Linked DNA regions of Styela clava. The protein of the gene in region 3 purifies or fractionates together with the protein of the main gene of each other region. This does not show direct contact. Links are inferred from orthologs where the notes say so. Each region holds a gene or a part of one and is shown on either strand. Other genes may lie near its edges. The genes, in order: centrosomal protein of 76 kDa-like, neuralized-like protein 4, centrosomal protein of 290 kDa-like and IQ calmodulin-binding motif-containing protein 1-like.

Region 1 (8,060 bases), on a different chromosome or scaffold from region 3:
TTTGCTGCTTTTGCTCGAATCTTATTTTTTCTTTCTCAGTTGTAATGTGATGCATTTTTTGCTAAACCACTAAAGAAAAATTGTGACATCATAATATATGTCTCTCCGAACATCGACCCATTTTTTTACTTCCCTAGCGTTTCAGCTAGATGTCAATGGTGAAGTAAAAACTGAAGTTCGGCCAGTCAATTTTTTCACAGATATAAGGACTTTGGGGGGTGAACATTAGCTTGTTTATCTGACCATTAGGTGATTTAAGTAATACAAGTTGCATTTAAATATGATTTGAACTTTGCTAAATAAAATATATAAATTTGCGCAATGTTTCATACTAATTTTTCATTCTTAATTACAGTAGACATTATTAATTCGGTATTCCGTAAGTTACGTCAGACATTTCGAATGCGTTTGGGTTTCACGCATGCGTAACAATTCACGTGATTATTATCATGGGTTGTTTGTTACTTGAAGTATAAATTGCAGTAATTTTCCACTCAGCTAAGTCCTACGTTAATTAAGAGCGTCTGAATGCGTGACTCGCGCAGACTAATCACGTGATGATAATCATGCGTAACTTCACATGATTATTAACGTACGCTGGGCATTCCAACAAGAATAAAATCACTGGGTTTGTGTTAATTAGGAAGAACCCGACATCAGATTGTGTTTGCTACACAACGCCGAAAATGCCTGAATCCACGTGATTATTCCAGCACAATGACGCTAAAATGTCTGTAATTTTCCAAGCCTTGTCACGCAATAATAAGAACGTTGTTCAAGAATTATTGGCTTTCTAATTTTTCTAGGTCAGTGTTGTGAAATATTACGCTCTTCCATAATACACCTGATTTTGTTGTCATTTTGTGGATATAACCGAATTTGGACATTAAATTAGCAATTATCGGGTTCGGTTCAGTAATGAATCGAAAATTTAGATTTCCAGCGCAATTTGCATTCCCAGCTCTCGCCATAATCCTAGCGGGATAATTATTATTACTTATCGATCTTAATATCGGTAAGTATGCTGATAGGTATTTGTCTGTTTGTTTGTCTGTCTGTTAGATGCAAGCGATATCTCACGAAAGCGAAGTTAAATCTGCTCCAAATTTTGCATTGTATTCATCATAGCTCGGATCAGGAGCCTATTGATTTTGGATGAATTATGTCGTATAATTAGCGAGTTTATAATTAATTAGTGATGGGACACACGGTGTCACTATGGAGTAAGAGCGCTTTTTTGGGGGATCCCCTAACCTCCGATCGATAAGTCTTCGGTCTCCGACCGATATTCTCGTTTTATTATTTTAAGCGTTGGCGAGGGTGTTATTTAGGGGGATTCGTACAAAAGATCCATTTTACCCAACAGTGATACTGGTTTAAACCCGTGTGTATTTTACTAGAGTTTTATTTGTATAGCCTATTTGTACAGCATGTCTGTTGTCCCAATATAACGCAGCAGTCCTAAACTGCTGTTATAATTGTTAGTAGGGGTGCATGTCGCACATCTGTGTCTTAGGCCAGTAAGGTCTTGAACATGTTTCTCGTCTCTGTTTTACTGTTTATTTATTATGCAGATATTGTTACATTTTTCAGGCAAATAAACATACTTACATACATATCAAAGTAAATCTGTCTAGCATCCATTAGAAACTGCACTAAAACATTTTGCAGTATTTCCTACTCGTGCGTAAGACCACGTGATGCTTAATTTTTGGACGTAACTTCCCACGCATACTTAAGTGCACGTGACGTTTTGGCGTAGGAACAGGAAATTCTATACGTCCAATAGTGCATGTGACGTTTTGCTTGAGAACATGAAATTCGATACGGCAGTGCGCGTGATGTCTTACGTACACATTCCACAATTTCAGTCAAGCGGACAGTCATGAGTTTCTGGGCATTTTTACTTATTGACAAATGCTCTCTGCTAGGGCTTAACAAAAACGAGTCAAATTACGTCAGCATTAAGTGGAAATGCATCAAAACGTCTTGGCTCAAAAATTTACAACACACAAGAAAAAAGTTCAAACATGGACACAAATGTACTGAATGGAAAATCTCACCTTTCAGACATAGACAGATAGGATAATTTTTTCGAACTCCTATATGACACAAAACAATTCAATTATAACTTGAACACACAGATAAACATGAATAACACAATCTCTTTCCCCGAAATAGCAAGTATATTAGTTGGCTTCCTTTGGATCATAGTCTAACTTCTTTAGACAAAATAAGATATAACTGCAAATATCAAAGATCATAATCAATCAATTTTATTTGGTCACTCTGATACAAACAACAAACAAAACAACAACAAAGGGCAAACAAAATACAGAAAACCTGGAGGACGGGCAGAACTTAATAATAAAGATAAATACGTACAAGTACGTGCCCGTCCCCCCAAAACAGTCAAAACACAATAAAGCTAAAACACGATGTGACATCGGCAATATCTTATAAATTAAAATATGGGACGTGTATGTGCTTTTCCTACAGATATATGGATTAAAGAACACTCGCTGCCGAAAAATGGTGATGCTGTAGGCCTGATAATTGTCCATATATATTGGTTATTATATTAATTTCGAAAAGGGTAGAATTGTTTTTTTCTACTATGCTCTCCAAATATATTGATGTGCGAGGGTAAACACTCAGTACAGTAAACCGTTCCCAAATCGCAAGAAAGTCCTCCCTGCCACCGTGCTTAGTATGGGTGAGACAGAGTAAGCTGATTTTTCTTATAGCTGCAATTGTAATTTATAACTAACGCATACGGCACAACAATTTTAATAAATCATGATGGCAAGAAAACATGTTTTTTCCCGGGGAATAAACATACAAGAGAGTTCGATAGAAAGAGGTTTTAGTACCGGAAATACGTTGTAACCGCCCGCTTGGCTTTCACTGCTATGTTTTTTTATTATTTTAAACGAATTCGTCTCAACGTACAACGCAGTAGAAAGGGAAAATCTCGAAAAAGATTTCAAACACAAATAATCACACACAAAAAAATCAATATTAATGAAAATATAAAACGACCTACCCTTCAAGATTTCAATTTAAAAAACAAAACTCATTGCTCTCTAACGACATCTCGCGGTCATAATTTTTTGAATTGGATCAATAGAGTCACGCTTCAGTACCTGTAACGCGGTCAATGATCCTTAGCAAATCATTGACCCGTATCGTCAACTGAAAATTCCCGTATTTCAAAAACAAAACAAACCTAGTTCGCCGAGTTTTAACTCGGTTTGCAGCTGAACGGTTGGATTCTACTGTTCATGTTTTAACAGTTACAGAGTTATCGAAGCTTCTTTCTATATAGTCAATAGTGTGATTACATCAGTGGTTATTGCTGTTATCTACCCATAGGCTACGGTATCGTACCGGCACCGTATTACTGCTGTACCGGTACTGGCTTTCGTCTGAACGTACCGGTACGGTTCAAACTATTGCAGTCATTTATCGAAGAAAATTGAGATGTGTAATCTCATTATTATATCAGTGGGTATTTTTGTCACCGGTATATATCCAGACCAACAGACGAGGTTTAATCATTTACCACCGTATTACGGTGCAATAATCTTGTTTTTAAATTGTGTTAAAAGTATTCTGAATCCGGTAATTATACACTTCTTCAACTTTATTTCAAGTTATGCTCGCCTTCTTCAGTTCTAGGTAGACTATCTCTGCATTTTGTTTGCCTGTTTATGTCAGAGAACTGAAATAATATGATTTATTCATTGATAAGTGAACAAGTACGGTACAGACGTACCGTATCAGTATCTCTTTATTTTGGCAAAACATTTCACAATATATCTATATATTCCGTTCTGCCGTCCTGTACATGTTATATTTGTTCCCCTGATTTTATAAACAATTTTTATTCATTGTTATCAATTACTGTATTTTATAATAATAATAAGTTATTTAGATTCCATCCAGTAATCAGCATAACAGACATGAAATACCATACCGTAGTGCAGGGGTCGGCAACCTTTTGTTGCTCGCGGGCCAAAATTAAGGGTTGCAAGTCATTGGCGGGCCGCACATATTTTTAGAAAGTGGAAAATCGAACGATACATCTCTCGAATAGAATATAGCTTTATTTCCTCATTGCATTGCATCTCAAAAAATTCCATTTGAATATTATCGGTGCCATTGAACCCTTTACACTTAGCATCAACTTTTCTGCGTTTTGTTGCCATTTGTCTAAATTATAATTAAATTATAGGCTCATTAAACGAGTAATTGTGAATTATATACTTGTTAGGTAACAATATAATTTAGTCTACACTTGTCTCACAATAAATTCTGGTATGTAAGACTATAATCGTCGAAACAGCTGTTTTGTTACTATAATTCAGTGATGTGCCACAGGCCGGATTATATTAGTAGGTGTGCCAGATTCGGCCCGCGGGCCGTAGGTTGCCGACCCCTGCCGTAGTTGATAAAAACAAATAAATAAAAACTGATCATATCGTATGTTATGCTGGTAAGTAGTCGAAATAAACGTATACTTATATCGAAACAGTGTTTAATCATTTAACTGCGTCATTATATCAGTGAATATGGCGTCAGCTCTTCCACCAGAAAAGCTTGCGGAGTTGAAGCAGATTATCCATAACCAACTTGTACAAGCGAACATACAGACTCAGATTAAAGATGTTTTGGCCGGAAGTTTTAATCAACAACGAGCTGGACATGATCGGACGGAAATATCTGAAGGGGACATAATGGAAGACTTGAAAAGAAAAGGTGATATATTTAAATTTACCATATTTGCTCGTTTTGTAGCCTGGGCCGATATTTTTTTAATCAAACTCAATAACCGAGCTCTTATTCAAACCGGCCCTCATTCAAGCGCGGGCTCTTTGTCATTTTTTAAAGTAAAATTATACACAAAACTTACGGTATCTTTGAAGACAAATATTGGATGACATTAATCCATTGTGACAAAAGCGCTTCTTATTTCCTATTGTTCTCTACCACTGAAAAATCAGCTTTTACATCGGGCGGGTATTCAAGCACCAACCCTTATTTATGTTCTGTTCACACGGGCGGTATTCAAACGAGCATATACGGTAGTTGAAATATGGTTGCCTGGAAAAGTTTGATCAAGATCAAATCAATCAATCAATCAAGATCGGGCGGTAAAACGAGCATATACGGTAGTTGAAATATGGTTGCCTGGAAAAGTTTGACAAAAATACATTTGTTCGTATGTGTACTGCAACACTGGTAAGTGGTAAGTAAGCTACTTGAGGTCTGGGATTAGGATTTTCATATTTATTCTGTGGGTTCATTCTCACGGTGTGAAAAACGCTTTGGTTCTCAACCTTTTATGGCTAGTAGCCCTCTTCCAGAAGCTTTTAGCACTCATGGCCCCCTGTTTATTACTCCACTTTAAGGGCCACATCCACTGACATAGCGATTCATGGGTTACCGCTTACCAGTCTGTGTTGAGTATGGGAGCACTTAACCAGTTATTTGTTCCAGATATGTGGACTTGATTCTTCATCTAGATCCCAAATATAACTGCATCGACAAAAGTATCTGAATATAGTGATGATACTTTCTATATTATTCTACACCATATATGTATGTAACATATTTCCACCGTTGGTGGAAAAACAAATTGCTGATTACAACTAAATATTCCAATTGTATCAGTGCGCAAATATTTCTGATCGTATGATCAGTGTTATGGCCGCTTTGATATTCAATCAATAATCATGATTCACTTTGCAGTTTGCAGTATTGCTAGCATACTCCTCCAGTCATCTCATTGATGCTCGCAGATAGAAATTTTAATTTTCAATTACATATTCAATTTTTTATGATATGATAACAATGAAAGGGAATACATATTCAATTTTTTATGATATGATAACAATGAAAGGGAATGATGAATCTCACAAACAAATTACATTGTACCCGTTATCCATCCTATACATTTTATTTGGTGAACTATTCTAATTGAGATGAACGAGTCTTCAGATATTGTTTGCAACGCAATGCTGAAAATGCTTTACTGCACATGATTATTACAGCGCAATGACGCTTGAATTTTTGTAATTTTCCAAGCCGTGTTACACAGTAAGAAGAGCGTTGCTCAGCAATTATTAGGACTGGGCATTATCGAATATCTGATAATTTCAGAATTGAATCGAATCTTGAATACTTGGAAGATATGTAGTTGTATTGACTGTTTTATTGTAATGTGTCTTCCAGACACATAAATTGGTGAAAACACATAATCTATCACGCAGCTAGTTCGCTGAGTGTCCACACACAATACGGTGCGGCTAATCGTGCTAAGCGTTAGGAATTCGCTCGTCACCGCGCCTCTAATTACTCTGCGTGGGTTTGAATCCCATGCGGGACGTGGTTATGTGCGAGAGGATTGCAGGATTTCTCGTCGCTGTAGGGTGGTTTACGTAACCGCTGGTCGGTTACGGCTTCCGCCACCATCCACCACTAATCCCATACCCGACATGGAATGGCAAACGGACGAAAGGCCCTGGTCCGCCATATGTTTATGCCATGAATATGTAAATCCTATCCTAAGTAACAACATGTTTCATCAATGCCTAGTTAGTTCACCATTGTTGGGAGTTGAAGTTTTAAATTTCTTTTTTCACTTTCTCAGGTGTTGTGGAAGAAATTCTGCAGAGACTTCGTTACGAATCGCCGATCATTGCTGCTCGAACAAAACCATCCATCCATAAAAATCTTGATGAAGAATTAATTCAAGCGGAACTGAAAAACAAAGTCGCTGTTGATCCGACACGGCGTTACATTTTTATCCAAATACTCGGAGGAAAGGCTTTTATTGATCATCTAAATGCCCCGAAATATCCTGGCGTTTCTGGCGACTCGACAAGACCATGTGCAACTTTCACGCTTCATTTGCTATTCCGGGGTCAAAGGTTCAGGTCACGACCTGTGCAAGTTGCCTGCGAACCTGATTTGTCTGAAGGGTTTCTGCTCGAACTTCACACACATTTTGCTGGTGAGGGGGGTAGAATGGCCGACACAGAAACTATGTTATCAATCTGTGATCCGATTCATCTTATCTTAACCCGAACAGACCCTGACGGTACTATTTCTCTAGTTGGAACAGACTCCCTCGAGTGGCGGAAAGTTTTATCTACTCCACAGGGATCCCACAAGGTGTCGATAGAGTTAATGGGTGTTGGAGCGGAGTCTAAAATCCCAGCTGGTATTTTGGAAGCTAAATTAGAAGTTGTGCCACGAGAAAACCGTGTGAGTTTGACAAAAGAAGTCGTAGACGTACAATGTCAACTTGAAAGGCGGCGTTCTGCGGAAAAAGAACGACTTTTTCTAGTTTATGCAAAACAATGGTGGAGAGAATATCTTCAAATTCGAGAGGAACATCAAACACGTACTGTAAAAATTTTCGCACAGGATGAAACTGGTTTAAACCGCCCTGTTTGTAGTTTTGTGAAACCTCTTCGAGCTGGTAGATTGCTTCATACACCTCGACAAGCAGCGAGATTTGTTAGTACTTTAGGATACGAGCGAGCTCCAACTGTGGGTTCCGGAGGTAATGTGGAACAATGGCGATCTTCGCACGCATTTTTCGCTCTCGGAAAAGGCGACCACGAAGACCATTCTAATCTTCTATGCAGTTTATTGCTTGGATTCGGACTTGACGCTTACGTCTGCGTCGGGTCGAAAAACAGGGGTGGAGCATACACCTGGGTTGTGACTCGTTATTCAGAAGGTGCGACTGTAATTTTCTGGGACGCAGTTACAGGTCATCGATACATCCACCGCATGGTGGCGCCAGATGATCCACCAGCAGTAAAGCAACCTGTAACCAATCACCCATACAAGAGTATTGGTTGTATTTACAATCACGAAGCTTTTTACGCAAACTCACAACCGTCTGATATTGTTGAAACATGCAACTTTAATTTAGCGAATTCATCTCAATGGAAGCCAATGAGTTTTGAAGCTGTGAAATCCGTTTGTGCGCAGTCTTCATCTTTCCCACCGGTGGCGCCATTGCTCTCTCCGACCCTTGACCC
Region 2 (8,796 bases), on a different chromosome or scaffold from region 3:
GTTTACAAAATACCATGAAACAATAGGCAAATAGGGTATTTAATTAATCATTCGACACAAAAGATTTTGTACAATTCTGGTGTTCTATGGAAGAAATGTTGGCTTGTCTATAGTAAAGAGAGGCTGTTGTTATTCCCTTTGCTACTACCTACCTTTATGAGTTGAGATTTTCAGCTGTATACTCACTCAGTATCAAACAAACGCCCGGATAGGTTGGAAGCAAAGGATGACACGTGGGCCTTGTCAGGGACCTTTCTACAATTTATTCAAGCAGCATCGTGGTAATAGATTATTACCTCGGGGATTCTTTTTCTTAAATAGAACACTAAGCAGCATGAGCACTACATTGCCCTCAAGTGTCCTATATAGTATATATTATACATTATCATCGTGAGCACTGTTTAACGACTGGCAGCTCTTCCCAAAGTTTTGTTTGTGGTCAATCACATATTAGCTTCTAGGACTAGGATCTATATACAACCAACGACTGAAAGACTTTCATCAAATGATTGCCCTGAAGTAGGCTATGTACAGGAGCAGGCACTCAAGACTATCGTGGTGTTTTTTTAATATGTGAGCGCAGATAATTGAAATCGCCATACTTTCGTGCCGTATCGTGTACAGAGTACAGAGTAAACTTTTCAAGCTTTTGAATAGTTGCTTGCAAAGAGCCTATTTCGGATAAACATAACATTCTTTTGAGGAGGTGCTTGTCCATATCATAGTTCGGAGCCAAAAATTCAATGTTGTCAGCTACCTACTGTGCAGAGACATTCGATCTAATAAAATATCTCAGTATACAGAAGGGACACTGCCGGCTTGTCCATATTAGCGATGCCGCTCGAGGGAATTTGTCCCCATAGCATAAACTTGCATTTACTCTCGTTTTTACCTTCTTCCGATTTGTTTTTTGTTTGGCAACATTTAGATTGCTTTGTATTGTACTGTATTTTTTTCTAATATAAATTGAAGTTATGTTTTGTTAAAAACTTTTGAAGCTACAGGACGTGGTATTTGGTTATATGGTCTTAATCACCAGTTGAATGGTTTGGTTGTACGGCAGCTATACACAAGATGTGTACTGTCAGTCAAGGGCGGTGTTATGTAAAACTAAACGTATTCTATTAATGTTATCCAAATGTCTCTGTGTCGTGTCTGACATTATAACTAATGTGGGCCTTTACGAATACATAATGATTGTGTGTGACGTTTTCGTTGTATCGGATCCTCCTGACACATAAATTACTGAAAACCTAAGACACATCACTCAGTCACATTGCTGGGTTGCCACACACAATAAAAAACATATTTCACAAGTAACTCACTCGAAAAAGAGTCATATACTAAGACTGCATTTTGAAAATACAATAGCCTCCATATGTGATGCGGTGAGGCTTGATCTAAGCGAGCTCAGTGGCAGTATTTTCAGCTGCAGAAAATAATTGCTCACTTGGAGTTGATGTTTCCGTCACACACATATACTTGCCAAACAACTTACTCATATAACCCGCTTTTTGCTCGTTCCCCCAAGTAAGGAGGCTTGAACAGTCAGAAAGTACTTTGGAACTAAAGAAATATGTTCACCTCATTGGCAACTGTTGGGACCTCGATATCTGCACTACCATGCATTAGACTCTGATGAATCGAAGGTAACACCATATTCTGTTGAAACAATTTCTGAAAGTACCACTTAGTCAACAAAATTGTGCTAAAATACCAACACTGAAAATGAATTTAAAATTTGAAGCGAACAGCGACAGCGAAAGGCCACCATCAGCATAGACCGTTCGCGTCGCATACGTGGCAGGCCGTCTTTTCCATATCAATCAACGAATCTATAGTAATACTTTCCTCTACCCACCACTTTTCTTGAGTGGTGATAATAATTCTTCAGATGATCCCCGTTCCGGGTGAATTTCATAGTCCTTGGGCGAATTTTCATAAATTGTCGTTTGTCGGCGTGTAGACAAGTTGTGCTGCTCCAAAAATCCAGGACACCATCGGCACGACACCGTCCCACAGAATCGGGGGCGAACCTCGTTTTGAGACATAAAGTTTTTTTTATTGTTTAGATATAATGTCGATGACATAAATAAAGATACCCAGGTGGGTGTGGAGTATATAATGTTGAGCAATTTTTCCTAAGTGGATTTCGGGGCGCTCCGGAAATATTCGTACCAAGATGACGCGTATCCTGAACCTTAACCTGGTAAACATACAATGTTCAGGTTGTGTGCCATCTTGGTACCAATACTTCGAGAGCACCTTTTTGTTAAAAACAATTATTTCATAACTACATGGGTTAGTTCTGAAGACATAGTAACATTGAATCTCCTCACAGTGTCAGAAATTCAATTTTAGTACAATAAATGGTAGTTCATTTCACTAATAGAAGCCAAGATCTATCGACAGCATCTAGCCACTTTTTTTGCACTCTTCAAACTACATTTGTGTTGCCGCGGGCGTTTCGTTTTCCTGCTTAAAGTTTCGGGACTTGTGAAATCGTTTATTAGTTGAAATGGATTGCAATATTTGACCTCGTCTTTCGCTCCGAACTAGGCCATGTAAAACCATCCACTGGTATCTAATGATGTGTAACGTGTTTTCTTTTGGAAGAACCGGAACCTTTCAGGTTCAGCATTGACTTCGGCCAAATTAATATATTCTTGTGGAAATAGAGGATATGCGTATGCGAAACCGAGATGTGCACCTTTTATGCCAACATAGTTGAGTCAAACATTTTGATCACTAGCACATCACATATATTTTCCTGAGTGCTTCGGTTGCATGGGGTAACGCGCACATTTTTGCGCACATGCATCAAATTCCACTTGTCTATTGATCTATAGGTTTTTGACGAGCTTTTGTGTATGATTTCATCCCATAGAATTTGTATGCTGTTCTAAAGAATACTAGTTTCAGGTTATTCATTTAAACCGCGTATCGGAAGTAAATTTGTAATATTGTGTGTTGGTTTTCAACTGGTTTATTGATATCCATCATTTTGACATCTTTAAATCGGTGAAGTCTTTCAAGAAGACTTGCTCGAGCCAAAGTAAATGAGCATCATCAGGTGATCGGTAAGGCTGCAAGTTGATTTCAGCCCTGCAACCTCCTACATAGAAGATAATATTAATTAGTGGGCTATGAGCTAAATTCCTAAATTTAGACGCAAACCTATCTACGAGGCAATATGTACCATCAATGTTACCTAAGATAAACTGAATATGTAATATGTCTAATAAATTCACCTACTAAAGCAAGTTCGATGGGTGCAAACTTTGTGTTATGGAATTGTATCACAGCACCGTTAAGAGAAGTATAAACAGTTTTGCTGTTTTGTATCACACCCTCTTTAAATGAAATTTCAATGTTTAAGTGCAAACATTAAAATTAGTCTTAAGTGATTCAAGAGTCTTGCTGCGCACTAACACAAATATATTTCTGTAACGTTTCGTCTGACCAAGGTCAGACTTCTTCAGACATACATAGTTATATATTTACGGTTCAACTATAACAAGAAAAGCGGTTACATTCCTTTTTTAAACAATAAATATTATTGAGCATGCATATGACCGAATTCTCTATTAAACTGACCTATTAAAATGTCGGTCGTGCATAAATCAGGACAAAACACCGATTTGGCAACTTTAATTTAAATTACTTTAGTTAAATCGTAAATATATACTACGTTAAATTTATTAAACGGAAGTCTCACTTGCAACAATGATTTTTGTTATTTATCGCTGATTTTATATTTGCGCAGCATTTCTTGACTGCTTACAATTTTTCTATTTTAAACCATGCTGCCGTTCCATATGGAGGAATTTGAATCGTCAAATCGAACGAAAATGTTTTTCGTTAATTTCCAATTTTAATAAACTTAATTAAATTACATTTCCAGCATTTGACGCCATGAATTTGAGATCCACAGAAAACTGTTGATGTGTATATTTTAGCCGATATTGCTCCAATCGAACAAAATATCGCTGTTATTTTCAATTCTAAGCCTACTCGTCGGCGCCCGAATGTCTGGCGTCAAATCTGTAACGGCGACGCAACATGACGTTTCCTTGGAAGTGAGCGACGTCAGGGTGACGTCAGTTCAACGTGTGCGTTAGATGCCATTATTTTGATATAAAAAAAATATTTGGATTTTATTTGTGTCTCGAGTATCAGCGACATCTCGCGATCAGTCTAATTTTTTATATACATTGATAACGTCCTCTGTCGAATGACGGTATTTTGACGAAGTTAGCATCGGTAGAAGTCACGATTTGAACCGCTCGAAAACTGAGTGTCAATTTTATGCTAAAACGAGATTCTTAATCAAAAAGTGGATTAAACTGCGCGATTGAATATGATAACAGATTGAGATATATAAGGACTCACTAAAGAAACTGCTAGAAGCACAATATGACGCTATTTAGTCGAGATATAAACGATTGAAAATTTCATTCGAAGTTACAAGGCACCCGAAGTTACTCGATTTTACCGTAACGAATTTTGCATATGTTATTCATAACCCCCACCTGACTATGTCATCCAAAAATTACGTCACTACGACTTCACCACGTCATAGGGCTTGCCAAAGTATAATTACGATCGCCCGAAATGGGAGGCGCAGTTCTTACCACTTTATGGCAGCTCCTGCCACGAACGAACCGCGGCAGCTCTTGCCATGGTTTTATAGCGCTATTCTGTATTCAGTAATCAGTATTAACGGTATATTCACAAACTAATGTACCAAATTCTAATTGATCATGGGGAATTATATCTACTTAAACCCTAACCCTAACCCCAAATCCATCAAGACTGTATCCATAAGAAAAACGTTCCAACTTACCCAATATTTGTCACCCTAAGGGACAGCCCTGTCCTTACGGCCCACCTGCCGCGGTTAAGGCAGCAAAATTTTACCTGCCATTGGTTTTCAATTTGCTGCCGCGGTAACGGCAGCTCGACATTGGTTTGTGGCAGCTAAAAATTCAGTCGCCATAGGTTTGGCCGTAGCGGCCATGGTATGGAAATACCGCCATGGTTTTGCGGCAGCTGCAGACGCCATAGAATACTTAAAACTGCACTTGCGAAATGGCATCTACGCCGCCGAAAACGAACTCGCTAAAGCTGGCGATCTCTCTCCTACCGTTATCGTCGTGACGAGAAAAATAGCTTGTTCGATTTCGGGTGATCGTCTGCGCGTTTTGGACGACCATCCGGATACTTTGGTGGGCCTTATTACGCCACCGTGACGTCGAAATGACGTAATTTTTCGGTGACGTAGTCAGGTGGGGGTTAGGATTGACATATGCAAAAGTTGTTGAGCCAGGCCAACTAGAAGTGCATGTGGAACTAAACTATACCGGTACCAGACCCCTAAACTATACTAGACCGCTTAGTCAATATTCAGATATTGCAATTTTCAACATCTTTCCTGTTCAAATTTTAGCTACTTACTGACATACAATCCATGCCAATGGATTGTCTGTGCCTATAATGCAACTGTTGGATATTTAAAATTAAATACCAATTACCTCAGTACTTGATAAATACATACAACATATGAAACATGAAGCATATGAGCCAACAAGAAATAAATTCAACTTTATAATTAACCCAGTGCAATATACCACTGCACAGAAGAATTGAAAACAACAAAGAGTAATTGTTTTTCAAATTTAAAATGACAAATGCACAAAAGTTTCACAGACGAACAGGTCGACTGGTTGAACTATCGAAACACTACACAAGTGCTGGAAGGAAGCATGCCAAAGAGGAATTCAATGATGGAATGATATTTTCTGAAAATCCATTGAAAGCAAATGAACTGTTTACCATATGCATAGACAAAAAAATCGCTTCATGGAGTGGTTCTATTGAAATTGGGCTGGTTGCAACAGATCCATCAAAATTAGTTATTCCAAAGGGGGCGATTGCAATTCGACATGGCAGTTGGTTTATATCCGGAACTTCGGTGAATATAGATGGTGTGGCAACAATTGATGATTATTGTCAGGACTTGGATTCTTTAGACATTGGAGATACTGTAGGTATCATGAGAAATGATAATAACCAAGTTCATTTGTATATAAATGGAGCTGATCAAGGTGTTGCTGCTGTGTGCATATATGAATCCGTTTGGGCTATGGTTAATTTGTATGGAAAATGTGCTGGTGTAACAATAGTCTCCGATTCAACAGTCTCTTTACCACAAGTTTCAAATCTGCAAGATTCATTAACATTTTCAGAAGTTTTATTTGACAGAAGAAATAGAAGTAAAATGTTGCAACATCAGTCTTGCTTTTTGGATGGAGAATCATTAGTATTTTATGCAAAATGTGGTTCTTTAATACAACTACTGGAAGGTGGTATGACTGCGGTCCGCTCCCATCATCAAGATGAGTTTAATAACGGTGTCGTTATGACAAATCGAACATTGAAAAATGATGAATTATTTGAAATAAAACTCAACGCCTTGACAGACAAATGGTCTGGCTCTATTGAAATGGGTGTTACTACACATGCTCCTGATTTGCTGGAGATCCCGAGCACGATGACAAATCTTCGGTCTGGTACAGTAATGTTGAGTGGCTGTGGGATCATTACAAATGGTAAAGGTAGCAGAAAACACTATCTAGATTTTCATTTGGACGAATTAAAAGTTGGAGATCATATCGGTCTAATGAGGAAAGAGGAAGGTAAGAAGTGACTAGCAATATTATTCAATTGGGTTTGATAAACATTATATGTAGTTACAGAGAGGAAGGAATTTATTGATCGTCAAATCAAAAAACAATATTAGTTACCACTCAACATGACAGAATTTTCAATATATTCAACTATTACTGTATTAATAACCAGAATCCAAACAAGAAAGTGCAATTCTTGATTATATATGAAACTTCAATCGTTGAGAAAAATAAATTTTAATTACCTCTTATACATTTTGCCAATTTGAACAAATTATGTTGAACATATTGCAGTTTTACGTGTAAGGTGTAACTATGACTGGTTGAGTAATCATGAGTTTTGGTATATTATTTCATAAAGCAGGATTTGTGGTTAGCTGGACTAGGTGCATCAACTATATATACTGCTACTAAATATATTTATTTCTATATTTTAGGTACTTTACACTTTTTCATCAATGGAGTAGACCAAGGTGTTGCAGCAAACAATATACCTCCTCATATATATGGTGTTGTGGATTTATATGGCAGAGCAGTCAGTGTTTCAATTGTTCCACATCACTCTGTTTTTGAAAGGTTTGTTCTTTATCCAGATAAAATGCTATCACCCATTTATTGATCACCTTTTTATAGATATCACAACAAGTTGATTAAATAATTTGTAATGATTTCATGAACTAATATAAACTTTTCAAATTCATTTTAAAATCAGTTACAGATGCCAAGTTACCATGTAATTTCAATTTCATTCTGTTATATATTGGTATATAGTAATAATAACTTTTTTTGATATGATGGATTATTTTGTCCAGGACATGGGTATGCAACTGTTTATCGCAATGACCTAAAACATAAAATAATGATGATGCTGATGGCCAAACTATTTAGCTATAGTAACCAGCAGAATGTTTTGTACAGCAATTTTACACTGCTATATTGCTTGCATAAATCAGGCATACCACATCCTGATTGTGTTGAACAAAGAAGTATTTTAGACACCACTCAGTGTAGAACTTATGCTTTTTATAATCATGTGACACAAAGTCAAAAATGCAGGTCTTGTTACGAATAGGAAAAAGCATCCAAAAATATGGGCCATATAAATAGGCGTGGCGTAGGCCATTCAGCTTTTGTTTACTTATTCCATAACGAAAACTTTTCCTCGTTATATTATTAGGAGTCGAAGAAACAATGCGGTTGTTGACAGAATTTTGCTTGATTCTAATCTTCTTGAAGAACGTGAACCACTTCTGTTTGATGTTTCATGTGGAAAGCACATCGAACTGTCATCGTGCAAGAAATCAGCCATGCGGCAAAATCCTCTGGAAGATTTTAATCATGCAGTAGTGCTGAGTGCAAGAACTCTGAATACTGGTGCGTACATTAGAAAACAAAGTTTGATTTTCATTTTCATCATCTTTGGTGTTGCCCCTTTGTTAATTTATGGTGGATCAAACCATTCCTCAAATATCAAATTCCCATGTAGGCTGACTTCAGCATTCTTGCATTTTATAAAATGATATATACTGGTTTAGCCTCATTCATGTGATATGATCATATTTGACAGTTATTTGAACAATCAAAAAAAAAATTAGCTATTAATCAGGTAAAACCCAAAATTATTTCCAATTTATCATTCCTATATATATTTACATTTTTACAAACATTTTTACTATATAATTAATTGCAATAATGCTAATATTTTATCGTGCAGGAGAAACCTTTACTGTTAAAGTGGAAGATGTTGTAGAAAAATGGTCAGGTTCATTGGAGATTGGTATTACGACATACCCACCAGAAGCCTTGAATTTCCCAGCAACCATGACAAATGTACGATCTGGAACATGGATCATGACAGCTACAGGTGTAATGGTGAATGGTGTAACTGTTGTTGATGACTATGGTACAAACGTAGACAATATGTCTATTGGAGACACTCTTGGAGTTTGTAGAAAATCCAATGGAAATCTACATTTTTATATGAATGGAATAGACCAAGGATTAGCAGCTAAAGATGTCCCTGAAAACATCTATGCAGTTGTTGATCTGTATGGACAAGTTTCGAAAGTAACCATTGTGGATTCGCTTGTCGATTGGGAATATTCAA
Region 3 (8,737 bases):
GGAAAATACAAATTCTCTGTTCAGGTTTATGGTAAAGAAATCCGTAATGGAAATTTTGTGATTTCGGCTTTGGATCTAATTAAACAACAAGGTCCCAATGCACGCATAAGATCACCAGCAAAAACGGACAAAATTAGCATGCGCCCACAGAGTGTTAGACAAAGGGGGATGAAACGTCCACAAAGGTAAATCCGTTCAACAAAAACTTTGTGTGTTTGGTGGACATTAAATTGTCTATTTATCTATAATTCACAATTATCCTAGAATCATGGTTGCCTCACAATTTCGGTATATATAAGTAAGTTGAAGAATTTTTTTCCACATTCTATAAAATAGCTCGTATATATATATGGTAATTTATAAAGTCCTACTAATTGGTCAACCAAATATTTGCATTATCTAATCATTCTAAAACTCGTTGTTTTTGCAGTATGGGCCCACGTAAAAACCCAATAGAAGATGACCTCGTACAGAAAGTTGGTAGCCGAGGTCGAGGCAAAGGCGAATTTTCTAATCCACAAGGTGTCTCAACTGACCACCTGGGTCGTCTCGTGGTTTCCGACAGCACTAATCAATGCATTCAAGTGTTTTCCGTAAGCTCAAAGAAAACAAGAGAACCTAAATACCTCTTCAGATTTGGTGAACGTGGTATGTACATGTTTATTCAAGAATAACCTGAATGAAGTTACGAAAATTGCTAAGAATCTATTAGCTTGATATTATGTCGGGATATTCCCGAGTTTATTGCACATAAATATTAAGTGAGGCTGATTATAAGTTGTTGGATAGTGTTTGAATAAACGTTCCATACACAACACCGCCTCGACGACAAAACACCAACGACTCCAATATCTTGATACTTGTAAAAAACTCAAATTTTTCGTATGATATACAATTTTCATAAATTTAGAATGATGAACTTTGAACCTGAGTTGCCTTATTATTTAAGTGCCATTTTCACACGGTCTAACTCCAACAGATGGCCGAAGAAACCTTGGTTTCATAAAGTTTTTTATTTGAGATTGTTATGCGTATCTTTCTAAAGTTTGCAAGACAATATTCACACACCAGCATTAGTTTAGGATTTATTTTAATCTGCACAAAGTTGCAGGTCGAGGAAGTGGACAAGTTCAGCGACCTACTGGAGTTTTCGGTTTACCAAACGGTGATATAGCTGTTTCAGATTATGACAATAAGGTGGTAAAAATATTTTCTGAAGATGGAACAAGCAAATTGAATATTGGAACGGGAAAGCTCATGGGGCCTAAAGGTTTTTTGCTATTTTTCATCTAAATGTCAAGTTGAAATCACGTATACCAATATATATGAATTATTTAAGCGTTGATGTCTGTACCTTATCCGTTGTTTTCACACAAACTAAAATGAAATTATGTCGACTAAGATAGTTTATTTGATCAATCGATAGTCGGCCAAATTCTGTATTTCATTTATCCATGTCCAAAATAAAAAATGTGTGAAATGTATAGTTAGTTTATAGAAACGTGCTTCGAATGAAAAGGAATTTATACAAGTCATATTGAATTTAAAAAACTGATTGTAATTGAGATATATATATATATATATATATGTCACGCAATAGTCCATCCAAGCAGAGCGATAACTGACTCAGATGGAGAAATATCCCCTGACAAATGTAGCTACAACTACCAGAATTTATAAGAGTGTGTATACTGATATTCATTATACAATATGTAAATACCTAAGCATTACAGGTTTATGTATCGATCACAATGGACATCTTGTAGTTGTGGACAATAAATTATGTCAAATATTTGTGTTTCAACTTAATGGAAAACTCGTAACTAAGTTTGGGACTCGAGGCACAGAAATCCATCAATTGGCCGGACCTCATTTTGTAGCTGTTTACAACGACAACTTTTATGTATCCGATTTTTACAATCACTGCATAAAAGTAAGTATTTTGTAAGTAAGTTTTGTTAGCTATAACAATAAGCACAAAGATATCTTCCCACAAAAGAATTTTAAGTGAAGAATTTCTGGTCCTCTAGTCGGCAAACTAGATGTATTGTTCACAGCCTTGAAAAACATACAATAAATACAGAATAAATTATTTTTGTTTAAGAATCTGATAACCGAACTATTGCCATCGAATGTTAAATATGTAATATTTTCCAGATATTTTCTGCGAGTGGCAAATGCAGTAATGTAATCGGCTCAACCGGTGAAGGTTGCGGGCAATTCAACGCTCCCACAGGTCTGGCAATCGATTCTCGAGGTAACATGATAGTTGCTGACTGGGGCAACAGCCGACTTCAAGTGAGATATTCATTTGATTGATTTGTATATTAAATTATCCTCATCGCAAACGAAATGAGTAACGAAACCATTCCAATATTCGTCATTTGAAACGATCCAAGTTATCAGTGTTTGTAAATTAAACTGCTGAGTATATAATATTTGGTTGACACGGTTGGTGACTATAAAACCGGTTAAATTTAACTTCGAATTGGATTGAACAATCTGCAATGTGATTCAAATCTAAAACAATTTCATACAATCCACGATTAGTGCCAATGAATTTGTTCCTTTTTGTTATTTACACCAATTTACATGTTACAGGTTTTTGACAAACATGGATCATTTCTTTCATATATAAACACAGACGAAGATCCACTTTATGGACCACAAGGCGTTACTCTTATTAATGAAGACCAAGTGGCTGTGGCGGATTCAGGAAATCAATGCGTTAAAATATATCGATACCTGCAATAATGATTTATCAAATTTCATTTCTTTATTTTTGTTCCTCGTGTTTATTCTGAGTTTATTGTTGATTATGAAAACTATCAAAGACAATAGATTGATTTGCATAAAATTGTTGAAACGTGAACTTAAAATATATATATGCTACGGATTTAAGCAGTTAACTACAGCTGCTAACCCACCATGATAAAAATGAAGATAAGTACACTGATAAGAGAATAATTAATGTCGAATGGGTACAAGCGTAAATATGGTACAAGAGATGAGTTTATAGAGAAAATACCGAGTGGAGTGATTAGGATGTTGTTAGTTAATTGGAAAGGTGTCTGAAATTAGGATGCCTTTAGTTTTAGATAAAATTGTCCTATTTCAAGATTATGGTTTATCTTGCGGGCGTGCTTCTGCAATTAGTGTATCCGGGTGGTCATCCACAATCACGTGACTAAATAGGTACAATGATGTTCAGTCTTCTGTTACTGCGACATTAAACCCCTTGACCACAGTAAATTATTTTTAAGTTCATGTACAAGTAGACTTACGAGGATAAAGTAGGAACAAAGTAGGCAACCATTTACAATATTATAAAGCATAAGGTATAGCTTCAGCTTCCGATCCTCCCGCGCACACCCAACGCAAACAATCGTTATGGTGCGTACTGCACCATTTGCCTAACTTCTTGACAAAAGTTTTTTGTATTTGTCGTAGTTCAAATTAAAGTTACGACCACTTTCTGATCAATATATTTTTACGTATACTAAAAAAGGCCAAATTATTCAAAATTAGTAGCCATCCAAAATGTTAAAGGGCGTTTCAGTCGCTGCAAAGGCTCGCTCCCTGATGTTCAAACTTTAAGATTTGGGAGCCAAATACAGCGTGCAGTCATGCGTGTTAAATTTTTAAATGATGTTCACTTGTTCCCTATAACTTAAAAGTCGAGTTACATGGATGTTCTTTTTCAGTATTAAATACATATACTTGAGTAGATCGTTCATGGGAAATATTAGGATGTTAAACTATACAAAACACCTTGCATTTGCAAAACTGTGGTTATTTGGAAACTGTGTTCAACCATGCGTGAAATTCTTGACTTCCGTTTGTTTTGGTCGTCAATGGTAAATTAAATGCTTGCTGCAGCATCTCTAGTATGATAATTTCGTTGTGGTACGAAGGCAGTGTGACTTTGTGTACGACTTTACCAGGGATGCAGTTCAGGTTTTCGCGAATATTTATGCTTGGTGATCCCATGCTTATTCAAGTACGGTACCGTTTACTAACAGACTAACCATACTGTTTTTAGGTTTTACAGTAGATTGGTAGAGATAGGCTTAGCCCACAAATGATTAATTAGTAAAGGATAGGATTTACATATTTATCCCGGCGGTGACACAAAGGCACACAGCTGCAGAAACAAAAGCAGACTAATACAGTAATACGCCGCGTCATATTTTAGAATAAAGTTTAAAGGGCTTGAAAGATTGCAGTTGCTGTACCCATTTGGCGGTGTGGCTCAACGGGCTAAGCGTTAGGAATACGCTCGCCACCGCACCTCTAATTACTCTGCATGGGTTCGCAGGTTCGAATCCCATGCAGAGATGGTTATGTGCGAGAGGATTGCTGGACTCCTCGCCATCGTTGGGTGGTTCACGTAACCGCTGGTCGGTTACGGCTTCCTCCACCACCAAGTCCATGCTTCCGAAAACAAACAATACAGTAAAACTAATCCCATACCCGACTTGGAATGGTAACCGGACGAGAGGCCGTGGTTCGCCATATGGATAAGCCGTCTTATCGGCTTTCCTCTCCCCCGGGATAAATATGTAAAATCCTATCCTATCCTACTGAACCAATGTCTGAATGTGCATAAACAAAATGTAATTTGCTTAGGTAACTTTAGTAGTACCTTACCGGTAACGTAAGTTACCCTATTATCTCCGCTTTTTATTCCGATCCATCTAAAATCTATAATACTTTACGTAACATTTCTTTTATATTTTCTCGGAACATTGGCTACCGATCGAGAAAAAAAGCCAACAGCAGTGATCCCCAAAAAGAATTTGCTATAGCGATATCTCAAAAATATAGCAGAAATGTTGATGTGGCGATAATAGGAACTACGATTATCCTATTATTGCCACTTGTGTCAAACTTTTTATATACGCAAAGAAAGAGCTATCAATTGCAGAATTGCCTCTGCTACGTGCACTAGAAGTACTTATGGTACTATAATAGACCCAATGTACTTAGATTTTGTAGAAACTCAGTAAATCCTGAACTGTGTACTGGTATAAGTCAACACATAATTCCGTTAGTTGCAACAGGTTCTTCCAACCTCCTAAGAACACACATACTAGTAGCTTTTACTTCTATTTTACTCAATTACATACTTTTGAAGTTACATATCATTTGTTTTTCCCCATTATTTTCAGGGTTCGAAATGATCTTATAGAAATTGACTACAAAGACATTTTGCCATTTTTATTATGGCTCCCAATATTGATTGGGCCACTGTTGGCACAGTGGCTCAAGGTAGTTCTACAGTGGATGACGAGACAATTGACAGGGTGGTTGAAGATCTTCGTACAGTTAAAGATGCAGATTTTAAAAATGAACCAGACAAGTTGATCATGCTTTTCAAATCTGCTTTGAATATTCTTGATGTAAGTACTAAATTATAATGAAAGCCTCATGTAGTTTTGTGGGTATAAGGGTGACCTATAAAGTTTCAAATACAGTTTTTCAAGGTATAAAACCTATTTCATACATCAATTTAAAGTTAAAAAGTGTTTTTGTTTGAATGGAAAACTTCTATCATTGAAAAAAAAAATCTGTAAAATCAAACCCGAATTTTTTTTTCCTCATAATGATTAATGAGTTCCCAGTTCTATGCCAGTGATTTTTATCATATGTAAACTTGAACTGCCTATAATAAAAGTCTTTTTCTGGTATTTATGGAAAAGTTATTCACCAAAGTGTTATTTCCATCATATCATGATTTTTCTCTTCTGTAACTCACTGCGACAAATCCAGCTAACTTAAAACTTTAAAATGTCATACCATCTACAGCATCGAGAGCAAGAATATGAAGCTTTACTCGATGAACAAGTAAAATCTGTTAATGATAAAGATTCACAGATTGAAGAATTAAAAAGAAGGCTAGAGGATGAACGAGTAAGATTTTGTCGAATAATTGGGAATGAGACTTAAAAATTTATATGGTTTAGCAATTTGCTCATTATGAATGTAGCAATATTATTTTCTTTGTTAATATTTTAATGCTTAATCACATAAATTTGAATTGGCACTATTTTGAGATTGATACAACAAGAACAACAAATGCAAAATATAAAAAAGAGTCTTTTTACTGTAAGACATTTTCAATTGTCAATTGTGTCAATGTTTACAATAAATAATATAGTGTTCATTTCCAAAACATCTCACTTTCAAAATACCAATCTATTATTATTACTGTGATAACCTTTTTCTAAGTTGATACGCTATCTGCTCCATTTCCGATTTTCTATATATCTGTTATATATTCAGTCTAATTGTGCTCTATACTACTTCAATTCTGTAGTTAATATTGTTCACTTTCCACGAAGTCTCTTCTAGTTTTCAAAATACTTTGGTATCCGTCTCATGCTCTACTAACAAATAGCATTCTTTCATTTTTGAACCAGATTAAGTTGGTTTCTATTCAAAACTATAGAATGTATTTAAACTGATGATACATAACATTAAGTTTTTATTTATTTCACATTAATTATGAGATTACTCTTTTTTCTCATTTAATTCCAGTATAAAAGAATATTTATCTTAGAACTTTTATGTGAAGTATTAGTAAAGAATCAAATATTCATGAACCACTGACCAGATCTTTGCTAAATTTTTCTATCGAGAACATTTAGTTTAGAATGTCATTTTATGTTTTAAAATAAATTGCTCAGTTATTATTGAATGGTTGAATAGCTGATGATTTCAAAATAGCTTTATATCTCATCAGAGGGTAACATATATAATGCTATATGTAGGTTTTGGAACTAGGAGATCTTTATTTTGAAACAGTATCATGACTTGGTGTATGAGTAAAACTAGATTTTTTTGGAGCAATGCAGAGATAAGTAATATTATTGATTTTTCAACTGGAATTTGAAATGATCAATAAATGTATATTCATTTGAGAACTGGAACTTCAACCTGCGCTTGTGCTTCCTCCAAAAGTTTGATAACATTTTTTTCCATACTTATAATTTTATGACTAGTATAGACATATGGTAATTCTTAAATTCGAAAATTACATTTATGACAGACATTGACGTTTCTTGGTTTTTGCAGAGATTTGGATCGGGAGGTGCTGGTGGCCTCCGCGGCGACACGGAATACATTCGTGCGGAAAATAGGAATCTTGCTGAATTGGTAGAAGGATACAAAGAACAAGAAAGGGAACTTAGAATTGAACTTGAAGAAATGTCGAGAGATAGATATACTTTTGAGCGAGAGAACAACGAAATGAAACAACAAGTTAAAGATCTAAAACTGGAGGTACGTTTTTAAAATGAAAACGTTAATTTTACATCATAATGCCATATTTTTCGGCTAAAATATTTCATGCTTTTTAGAATCAAGAATTGAAAAGTGATCTTCGCGACTTCCGTGATATTATGGAGAAGCAACATCGTGAACGTTTGGGTGTCAAAGGTCATATTGATTCAGAAATGAAAGACAAACTCACTGAGAAAAACAATCAAATAACAGATTTACTCGATCAAATAACGGTTTGTATTTTTCTTTATTCAGGAATTGTGGTAGAAATATGCTATCTAATTAAATTCCAAGCCAACTAAAGTTATGTGAGATAAATTTTAAGGCTATGTGAATAAGTTCATTTCTGTCTATATTTTTATCTCATTTTTTCTAAATGTTATTTGAATCAATTTTTTAACACAGAAGTGGGTAAATTACGGCCCGTGGGCCTGATTTGGCCCACCGAAGTGTTTCATCTGGCCCAGTTGTGCCTGCTGAAATTTTACGATTATAAATTTTTGTTGAAAAAATCAATGAGAATAGCGAATCGTTGGCCAAAATAAATAGCGAACTTCTCCTGTATTAATTGTACTCTAATATAATGTACAGAACGAGCCATATATTACCTTAAACTCACTTATCCGAATTATTTATGTCATTGTAAAACTCGAGTCTCGGCCAGGAATAGCTCCTGAGACACGTTTTTAGAGAGACCTTCTAAGACTTTAAAAAAAAGTCATTGGATATCTGGAATTATTTTGTAAAATACATAGTTATTATTAGTCCTTGATTGAATTTTTAGTAAAATGTGGTTTTATGTTTGCATTACTCCTTCAGGAATTAGAAAAAGTAAACAAAGACTTGGAATCCAAAAATCATGGAGTCAGAGATGAAATGGAAAGAGCTCAACAGGACATGGAAAAGATGGCCGACGAATATGAGAAAATGAAACGTGTCATAGATGGAACAGATCAGTACTCAGAAAATATTCAGAAGGAGAATGCTGCATACAAACTCCAGGTGTCTTGATTAACTAATATTATCGATTAAGATAATCTCTCGATATAGCAAGTGTATTTATTAGCTTTCTTTCGATCATAGTCTAACAAGATTTATCTATATGTTAACTACCGTTATAAATCGCCCCAAAATTCTGGAAAATATTACACAAAAATTATTTAATGAAGCTTCGAAATGGAGATTGGAGTTAAATTTTGTCTGGATGGAATATTCCATAGAGGAAAATTTTCATGAGTAAACTTTTTAAGTGATGATTTTTCTACTCTATAAGTTATGTGCTAAAAGCTTGTCAATACTATACACCAGTAGCCAGTAACACTCTTTATGCCTTAAGTATATCCATTATTCTTCATATTAACTCTGCCTTTATTAATCCACCCACATGTATAAGTTTTTCAAATGGTGTTCCATATGACAAAGTCTTGTCATTAAATCAGTTGATATTGATAAT
Region 4 (7,910 bases), on a different chromosome or scaffold from region 3:
ACTATTCAACTGAATTAGTTTAAGTTAGTCTTGCTTAAACTGTACCTCCACTTCAATTCTAATTTTATAAAGCGAATGAGCTCTTCTAATTAGCGCAATAATCATATTTGTTCTGCGTGTTTTGTGATGTAATAGTGAAGTTCACTCCACCATTCTACGGAAAGCTAAAATATAGGCAGATTAGAGTGGAAAAAGTTGTTATTATATGCTCTGGGAGATGTCAGTCGCCACTCAACAAAACATATAAAAATCGCTAATGCGCATATGCATTATTTATACCGCTCTATTATCCGGTTAACCGTCACAATAATATCCGGATATCAGATAGCAAAATAACTCTTGGTTAACCGGATATCCGGTTAACCGCTATCCGGATAATCCAACCCTAGCGGGAAGCCTAATTATTCACGCATCGAGATAGTTTCATAATCTGCTGCAAGAGATAGGCAGCGTGGTTCGGGCACGTGGAAGTATTTTAGAAAACCCGATTCCATTGTTGAATGTCATTTATGTGACAAATTTTCAGTGTTCGACATGCAAATTTTACTTCGAGATATATATCATATAAAGAAAAACGGCATCAACTGCACACTTGTTGTACGACATTGAATATCCAATTTCGCAATGAAATCGTGAACAATATATTTGGAAATTGACCGAAAACCGATTCTGAATTCATCATTGTCAAATTTCCATAATCAGCAATCTTGGTACTGCCATTATTTTTCACATTTATTGAGTCCTTACCCACACAGTTAGTAATATTCTTTTGAATTAAATGCCACAAGAGATAAATTTGCGATGACGTAATCATACTTGAAGAAATTGTACGGTATGAAGATGATTTGTACCTGAGATGTCAGTTAACGGTTAAAAAAAATCGTAACCGTTAGTCATCTGAAATCGGTACATTCAATACTGTAATGTACGATACCGGTATGTTTGCTTGATTCACTTTTTTTAGTACCTAATATGTGTTGAAACAAGTAACTTATGTAAAAAAAATATTATACCTAGCCCTAGGTACGGTACCGGTACAGTATTAATTGTCACCATCCAATATAATTACCATCGTATATTGCCAGGGGTGGGCAAAATTTTTTTTATTTTTATAATCATGAATATTTCATAAATACAGGTACGGTATGTCCAGTAAATCATATCCTCCCATATCTTTTGTCCATTCTTTTCTCCATTCTGCCATTTGTTCAACTTCATTCATGTTCAAAGCGCTCAGTGTTTCTTGTAATCCCAATTTCATGATTTTTGTTTTGTTCAATTTCATTGCTGTTGGCTGTTGCTTGTTCAAATTTTTCTATTGTTTCCATAGCCATTTCCAATGATGTTTTCTTATTCAGTGTTAATGTTATATTGTCGGTAAATCTCTTATTTCTTTTATTTCAATATTCCCAGGTATCATTATTCCTTCTATTTTCTGGTTTCTTTGTATTGATATTATTAATGGCTCAATTGCTATTATAAATAAATATAAACTTACTGGTTCACCTTGTCTGACCCCTCTTTTAATAGTAAAGCTTTCACTTATTCCACCATTGATGATAATACAGTTTTTCATTTTTTTGCATTGCCTTTACTACACTAATTATTTTATTTTTGAAACCAATTTTTTTTAATACTTCATACTTATACTGCAGATCGACAGAATCGAATGCTTTTTCAAAATCCAACGATACCAAAAATGATTTACTATTGCCTCTTTCCGCTTCAGAAACTATATCTCGTACCAAAACTACTGAATCTGTGATTTTATGTAATAATGTCATATATCCTTAGTTCATAGTTGTTTTAGATTATTCCATAGTTATTTTAGAGTTCATCTCAATTGCACCCTCATCATTAGGCTTTTTTCCAAGGCGTTTAGAAATAGTAATTGCTCTTTTTTGTTTGTTTCACGTTTTTTTTATATAAATTTGTGTATTCCTTCCCTATTTCCAACTTTTCCTTCAAGTTATTGAAGGAATTGCCGTTCTTATCTTTCATTTTTTCTATTGTGCACTTTTCATGTTTTTCCTTTAATTTTTTGAAAAACCATTTTGTACATTTTTCTCCATAATCAAATTCATTAGCATTATTTTGTATCCATAATTTTTGACTTGATTCTTTTTGTTGTTTTACCATTTTTCTTTTCGTTCCACGGTGCCGATCAACATTGCTGACTTTATTATGAATTAGCAGCCATATGAGAGTTCAATCACAAAGATTTATTTTCTTGACGAATAAATGCGTATTCTTCTTCCATTCTGACTTGACAACTCTGTTTTCATCTTCGTATTTTCGCTCCTTACTTGTGAACATATCGCACTTTAACTGAGACTAACCACAATCAAGCTACAATGCAGGATGCAGCCAACGCAGCAACATACAATTTGACCATTGTGACGTAAGATTTGTTGCTTGACTGATTTAAAATTCCACGACACAACGATTTTCATACTAAAACATAATTTGTCCTAATCATTGATGAAAATTGCTTCTACCGCTAAATAAATTTAAAAAAATGTTACACTACAGTTTCTCTTAAGTTACATTTGGATAATATTAAATGTTAGCGAGAAGAGCCGCAGAAAACTCGGACGGGCCTCATGCGGCTCGTGAGCCGCGGTTTGCCCACAGTTGGACTATATTCCTCAAATTTATCATTCTTCGACATTTTTGAGCTCTCTTACGCCAGTACCGTACGCCAAAGCGGGAGGCGGAAAACTCGACTACACGGACAACTCACCAGAGACAATTCGACTACCTAGAGGCCTGGTGAGTCGTCCGTCTTTTGGCATTTTCTACGGTGGTGTTTTATGTCTATAGAAATGCGTTTTTGATATTTTTAGTGCTCAAATGTTGAGAAAAATACATAAATATGCTCTAGAAAGCATTTTTATTTGTATAAGTGGCTTATTTTGATCATGTTGTATGAATAGGCGCGGCGGTGTGGCTCAACGGGCTAAGCGTTAGGAATACGCTCGCCACCGCACCTCTAACTACTCTGCGTGGGTTCGCAGGTTCGAATCCCATACAGGGATGGTTATGTGCGAGAGGATTGCTGGACTCCTCGCCGTCGTTGGGTGGTTCACGTAACCGCTGGTCGGTTACGGCTTCCTCCACCACCAAGTCCATGCTTCCGAAAACAAACAATACAGTAAAACTAATCCCATACCCGACTTGAAATGGTAACCAGACGAGAGGCCGTGGTTCGCCATATGGATAAGCCGTCTTATCGGCTTTCCTCTCCCTCGGGATAAATACGTAAATCCTATCCTGTCCTGTCTACAGACGAAATTGGAGTAACGTTAGCGAAGTTAGACTGTTGACTTACAGGACTGAGTTCGTTTAATTTTTCGAACTTTATTGGTATTAAATGTTTTGAATGAGCACCTTTAAATATATTAAAACATTTATACTTCACAGTAACACTTAAATATTTATGAATGTGAGCTCAGTAGTATATGGTTGCAGTAGTGTAAACTCGCCTACGGCAGTCGCCCGACAGGCCGTCAACGCACCAGTCGAGCAAACGCTCTGCGAGCGGACGTCATCGATGCTCGAGGTGAAGATAACTCGACTACCGAGCAACGAGAGGCAGACAACTCACCAGTCGAGCAATCGCTCTGCGATATCGATGCTCGAGGAGAAGACATTGCTTTGCAAAACGCAGACTCAAGAGTTGCATAGCATTTACTTAGTGCCGACTGATATTAGTTGTAAGCCAACTCACCACGGCAAGGTTTCAGTCATAGAGTTGGAATTTCTTTTTGCAGAAGAAAACCAGGAACAGATAGGCACTGTCGCTGTGCCTGGCAAAGAAACTGGGCCGAAGAATGTATAAAAGATGTTTACTTTTTGTTACGATTAATGAATTTAATGTGATATTTGAATACTAAACGTTATGGGGAAATTTAATGGATAGAAGATTTTGTTTTCTTTTTGTCATGGCGCAATGTCTTCTCCTCGAGCATCGATATCGCAGAGCGATTGCTCGACTTGGTGAGTTGTCTGCCTCTCGTTGCTCGGTAGTCGAGTTGTCTTCACCTCGAGCATCGATGACGTCACGTCGCAGAGCGTTTGCTCGACTGGTGAGTTGACGGCCTCTCGGGCGTCTGCCGTAGGCGAGTTTAGACTACTGCAACCATAGACTACTGAGCTCACATTTATAACTATTTGAGTGTTACTGTGAAGTATAAAGGTTTTAATATATTTAAAGGTGCTCATTTAATACCAATAAAGTTCGAAAAATTAAACGAACACAGTCCTATAAGTCAACAGTCTAACTTCGCTAACGTTACCGTACTCCAATTTCGTCTGTAGACTGTGTTTGTATCATACAACATGATCAAAATAAGCCACTTATACAAATAAAAATGCTTTCTAGAGCATATTTATGTATTTTCTCAACATTTGAGCACTAAAATTACCAAAAACGCATTTCTATAGACAAAAAACACCACCGTAGAAAATGCCAAAAGACGGACAACTCACCAGGCCTCTAGGTAGTCGAGTTGTCTCTGCACACAGCATTGATTGGGATAACAGCAGGATATTGGAACATGAAATTCACTACAGAAAAAGACTATTTCTCGAATCTTATCATATCAACAAAGAGAAAAATTCAATGAACGATAAAGATACTACATTGTTCCCGCATGTATATAAATCATTGTTTAGATAGTCGCGTAATTGTTTGAACTTGCGCTTATTCACCCGGATCTATTATGATATTGTCCCTTTTTCAGTTTTTCACGCCGTTTAATTTTTACTATCTTTTTTATTTTTTTACTCTATATATATATGATAGTGTACTTACTCTTCATATCATGCCCTGATGAAGTTTTTCTGAATAGAAATTCGAAACGTCGGCAAATTATATCGTTTTGCTATACACCGGTTGTGCTTTATTTATCTTTGACTTGTCTCTGGTGAGTTGTCCGTCAGCCCGCCAAAGCTACCGCTCCCGTACTACCTGCCGTATCCCTAGCCATATCTCTAATGGCTATTTTGAAATTTTATTGCCCTCGCTGACCAGAGTCTTTTTATCCTCACACCGGAGTCACTTTGACTCCCATGAAATTCTTTCTATACTTTACCATTGCAAAATTTTCAGGGGTATTTTAAGAGTGATTTTGCGAGTTGGCGCCTGTAAAATGGGGTATGTGTTTCGAACCATCATTATGATTCATCGCATACGACAATCTGTTTTTTTAAAAGTACCGGTAATAAATTTTAGCCCAGTCCATCACAGCTATTTCTACCCTAATTTTTTATTACTGCAATTAAATTAAAACTCCGAGGAAGACAGAGTGATCATTGAATTATCTGATTTATATTCAAGTTTCCGAAACACAAGTGAAAACTAACGAATAGAGTTCAAAAACGCGAAAACGAGGTAATGTTTACGACCACGCTTGAAGATCTGTCTGAGCAATGACATTGGCTCTACTAAACAAGAATTTTTCGGTTCATAAAGCACAATACAGTTTGATTAATTTAATTGATATGTGAAAATATATCATCGCATTTATTGTAACAAATTTCACTAGAATGGTTGTCGCGAAGTTGAATCACACAAAAATCCATTTGGTAAATCATTCACTTATTCATTAAAATTTGTGTACAGTATTGATACTATAAACAGGTAAAATAAGTTGGCTCAAAACAACATTAACCTTATCGGCAAGAAATTTTAACACTTATTTTAGGGTATAAAATACCATAAACCTCGTGAGAATATGACGAAAAGGTAATGTGAACTAAAACATTTCTAATGCATCACAAGGTGACAAACAAAGCAAAAGTCATTAGACAAAGAGATTTTAAACGGCGTATGTGTGGGGTGTTGCGAAGGTGTGTTGGTTCCGATTCGTGCTCACAGAGTGTAACGCCCCGCCTACCGTGTTGATGATTGGTTATCAGTATAGTCACATGCACAAACATATGACTTGGTAAACAAAGACATGCTGCATGTGTTACGTTTTGCTCAGAAGTCTTTGTGTACGACTGGTGTTGCAATTCACCGTTGAATATACGGGATATAGGTTGGAAACAATATGTGGCAGCGTAATTTATTGATCTACGCCACCTGTTTTTATGGAAATCGATATATTCCGGGGATGTTCTATCAGGAAAGTGCCTGCTGGACTGAGTAACCAGGATTTACGGTACCGGATTTACTGGTTTGGGTTACAGTTCTGCAGTCAGACAGTAGCGTCTTATCTCTGTATATCTTGTGTACCGTATTCCGTGAAGCCTCCAAAAATATTTGGTCCTCGACCTGTTTACCACCATCGATCGAACGTGTTTACCCTGCCAACATTTCAGCATATTCTTATATTAAAGTTCAGCTTCTCAAAATTCAGACATTGCATGTAATGTTGTATGAAAAAAATCCTTGTCTGCTTGACAAAGCAGTAGAAAATATGTGAAATTGATGGCTTTACAACCTTACGATGGCTTCTCAACATGCTTTAATAAAATGCTGTTCAAATTATAAAATTGCATAAATCTCTTCATCAATAAACTTGACCAACATAGAAAAATTGTCCATTAAACAAAGTCAGAAATCTGGAAAGTGAAGAATACTGGCATATTGAATCTAAAGATTTTTAAGCTAAGTCAGTAAGTTAAACATTTTATCGCTATTAGACCAAAGTTAACCATTTGTATATATCAGTATATTAATGATTGAAAAACAAGTCTGACATTTTTTTTATGATGCTTATGACAGAGATTATTCTGATTTGGTATTGCTTATACAAAATTGAAAAACTGAAAAACTAGATTATCTAGCTATAATATATGGAACAATATTATAACAGGAGTATTCTTTGCACTTTTGTTATCAACATTTTCTTTTAAATTTAGTTTTCTTGTCATTTCAGCATTTACATGAAAATAGCCTTTTTGACTAAAACACCTTTATACACCCAAATACCACTCTTCTATCTATTGCCAATCAATGTTTTATATGTGCTAATAAGTACCTTATTTTAATATTCAGATATTAGTTAATCATTTTATTATTATTTGAACAATTTCAAGAAATACGTATATGGCAGTGTCACTTTGGGGTGGTGCTGGGTTGAGGTGGATCAAGGGACCAGGGGGATGGCAAGAAGATGTTACACAATCAGAAGTTATAGTTGATTCTATTCACATGTAAGTTAAATTTTCTCTACTATAGCATCGAAAGTTATCTGTATGCCTTTTTATTTATGAAACAAGACAAATGATTGTTGTAACAATTGATACTGATACATTTCAAAATATCTCAAGATGATTTGTTCTGGCTATTTGCTATTATATATCTGCATATATTTGACCTCTAATTCCTCATGATTTTTATGATCTCATAGCGGATTTGCGAAATAAAGTCTTTCGTTATTAGTTCGTTAAGTTATCCATATTTTACGATTTGAAAGTACTTAGCTCATTCATATATATATGCTCCAAGATGTATAAATATACATTTTTTCAGAAATCAAGTCAAGAAGACAATCGAAATGTTTTTAAGAAGCAAACAACAAAAAGCTTACAAGCGCTTGTATTCATATCTTTCAGCTGCTCCTGGTATATTTATTTAAAAATTTGAGTATTTTAACTCATTCACATTCTGCATACAGTTTTGGGATATATGAAAGCTTTATATTCAGAAAAAGAAAATGTATAATCTGAATGGATTACTGGGTATATAAATTTGTATATAGCCTTTTCTTTTTAATTCCTCATGTAAAAGTGGTCTTTTCAAATAAAACACATAAAATATTTGCAAGTGTAAATGAGATTTACAATACTTATATACACAACATTCCATTCATCACATACAAAGTGCGAATCTCCCAATAACCACAGCTATTTATTTGTTTTTTTCAGTTTCGAAATGCAGTGCTAAAGAAAGTGTTACT

What was found.
Region 1: the proteins of centrosomal protein of 290 kDa-like (region 3) and centrosomal protein of 76 kDa-like purify together in Homo sapiens (co-immunoprecipitation; 5 studies listed by BioGRID and IntAct, with this or other methods). This does not show direct contact. The link is inferred for Styela clava from reciprocal best matches to the Homo sapiens genes CEP290 and CEP76.
Region 2: the proteins of centrosomal protein of 290 kDa-like (region 3) and neuralized-like protein 4 purify together in Homo sapiens (affinity purification with mass spectrometry; 3 studies listed by BioGRID and IntAct, with this or other methods). This does not show direct contact. The link is inferred for Styela clava from reciprocal best matches to the Homo sapiens genes CEP290 and NEURL4.
Region 4: the proteins of centrosomal protein of 290 kDa-like (region 3) and IQ calmodulin-binding motif-containing protein 1-like purify together in Homo sapiens (co-immunoprecipitation; 8 studies listed by BioGRID and IntAct, counting the BioPlex papers as one, with this or other methods). This does not show direct contact. The link is inferred for Styela clava from reciprocal best matches to the Homo sapiens genes CEP290 and IQCB1.

What each region holds. Positions count from the first base shown.
Region 1 is NC_135252.1:22,882,844-22,890,903, forward strand, and holds the start of centrosomal protein of 76 kDa-like, read left to right. Parts: upstream 1-4,537; 5' UTR 4,538-4,574; coding exon 4,575-4,761; intron 4,762-6,655; coding exon 6,656-8,060. UniProt on the Homo sapiens protein: Centrosomal protein involved in regulation of centriole duplication. Required to limit centriole duplication to once per cell cycle by preventing centriole reduplication.
Region 2 is NC_135252.1:6,169,817-6,178,612, reverse strand, and holds the start of neuralized-like protein 4, read left to right. Parts: upstream 1-5,424; 5' UTR 5,425-5,683; coding exon 5,684-6,698; intron 6,699-7,126; coding exon 7,127-7,265; intron 7,266-7,866; coding exon 7,867-8,063; intron 8,064-8,403; coding exon 8,404-8,796. UniProt on the Homo sapiens protein: Promotes CCP110 ubiquitination and proteasome-dependent degradation. By counteracting accumulation of CP110, maintains normal centriolar homeostasis and preventing formation of ectopic microtubular organizing centers.
Region 3 is NC_135257.1:13,834,928-13,843,664, reverse strand, and holds the start of centrosomal protein of 290 kDa-like, read left to right. Parts: upstream 1-5,171; 5' UTR 5,172-5,225; coding exon 5,226-5,402; intron 5,403-5,808; coding exon 5,809-5,913; intron 5,914-7,077; coding exon 7,078-7,284; intron 7,285-7,361; coding exon 7,362-7,517; intron 7,518-8,103; coding exon 8,104-8,286; intron 8,287-8,737. Other genes in the region: tripartite motif-containing protein 2-like, read left to right, coding at 1-185, 431-648, 1,106-1,270, 1,734-1,933, 2,158-2,298, 2,602-2,754. UniProt on the Homo sapiens protein: Involved in early and late steps in cilia formation. Its association with CCP110 is required for inhibition of primary cilia formation by CCP110.
Region 4 is NC_135260.1:8,785,259-8,793,168, reverse strand, and holds the start of IQ calmodulin-binding motif-containing protein 1-like, read right to left. Parts: upstream 3,245-7,910; 5' UTR 1-3,244. Other genes in the region: F-box only protein 32-like, read left to right, coding at 7,058-7,164, 7,484-7,575, 7,879-7,910. UniProt on the Homo sapiens protein: Involved in ciliogenesis. The function in an early step in cilia formation depends on its association with CEP290/NPHP6.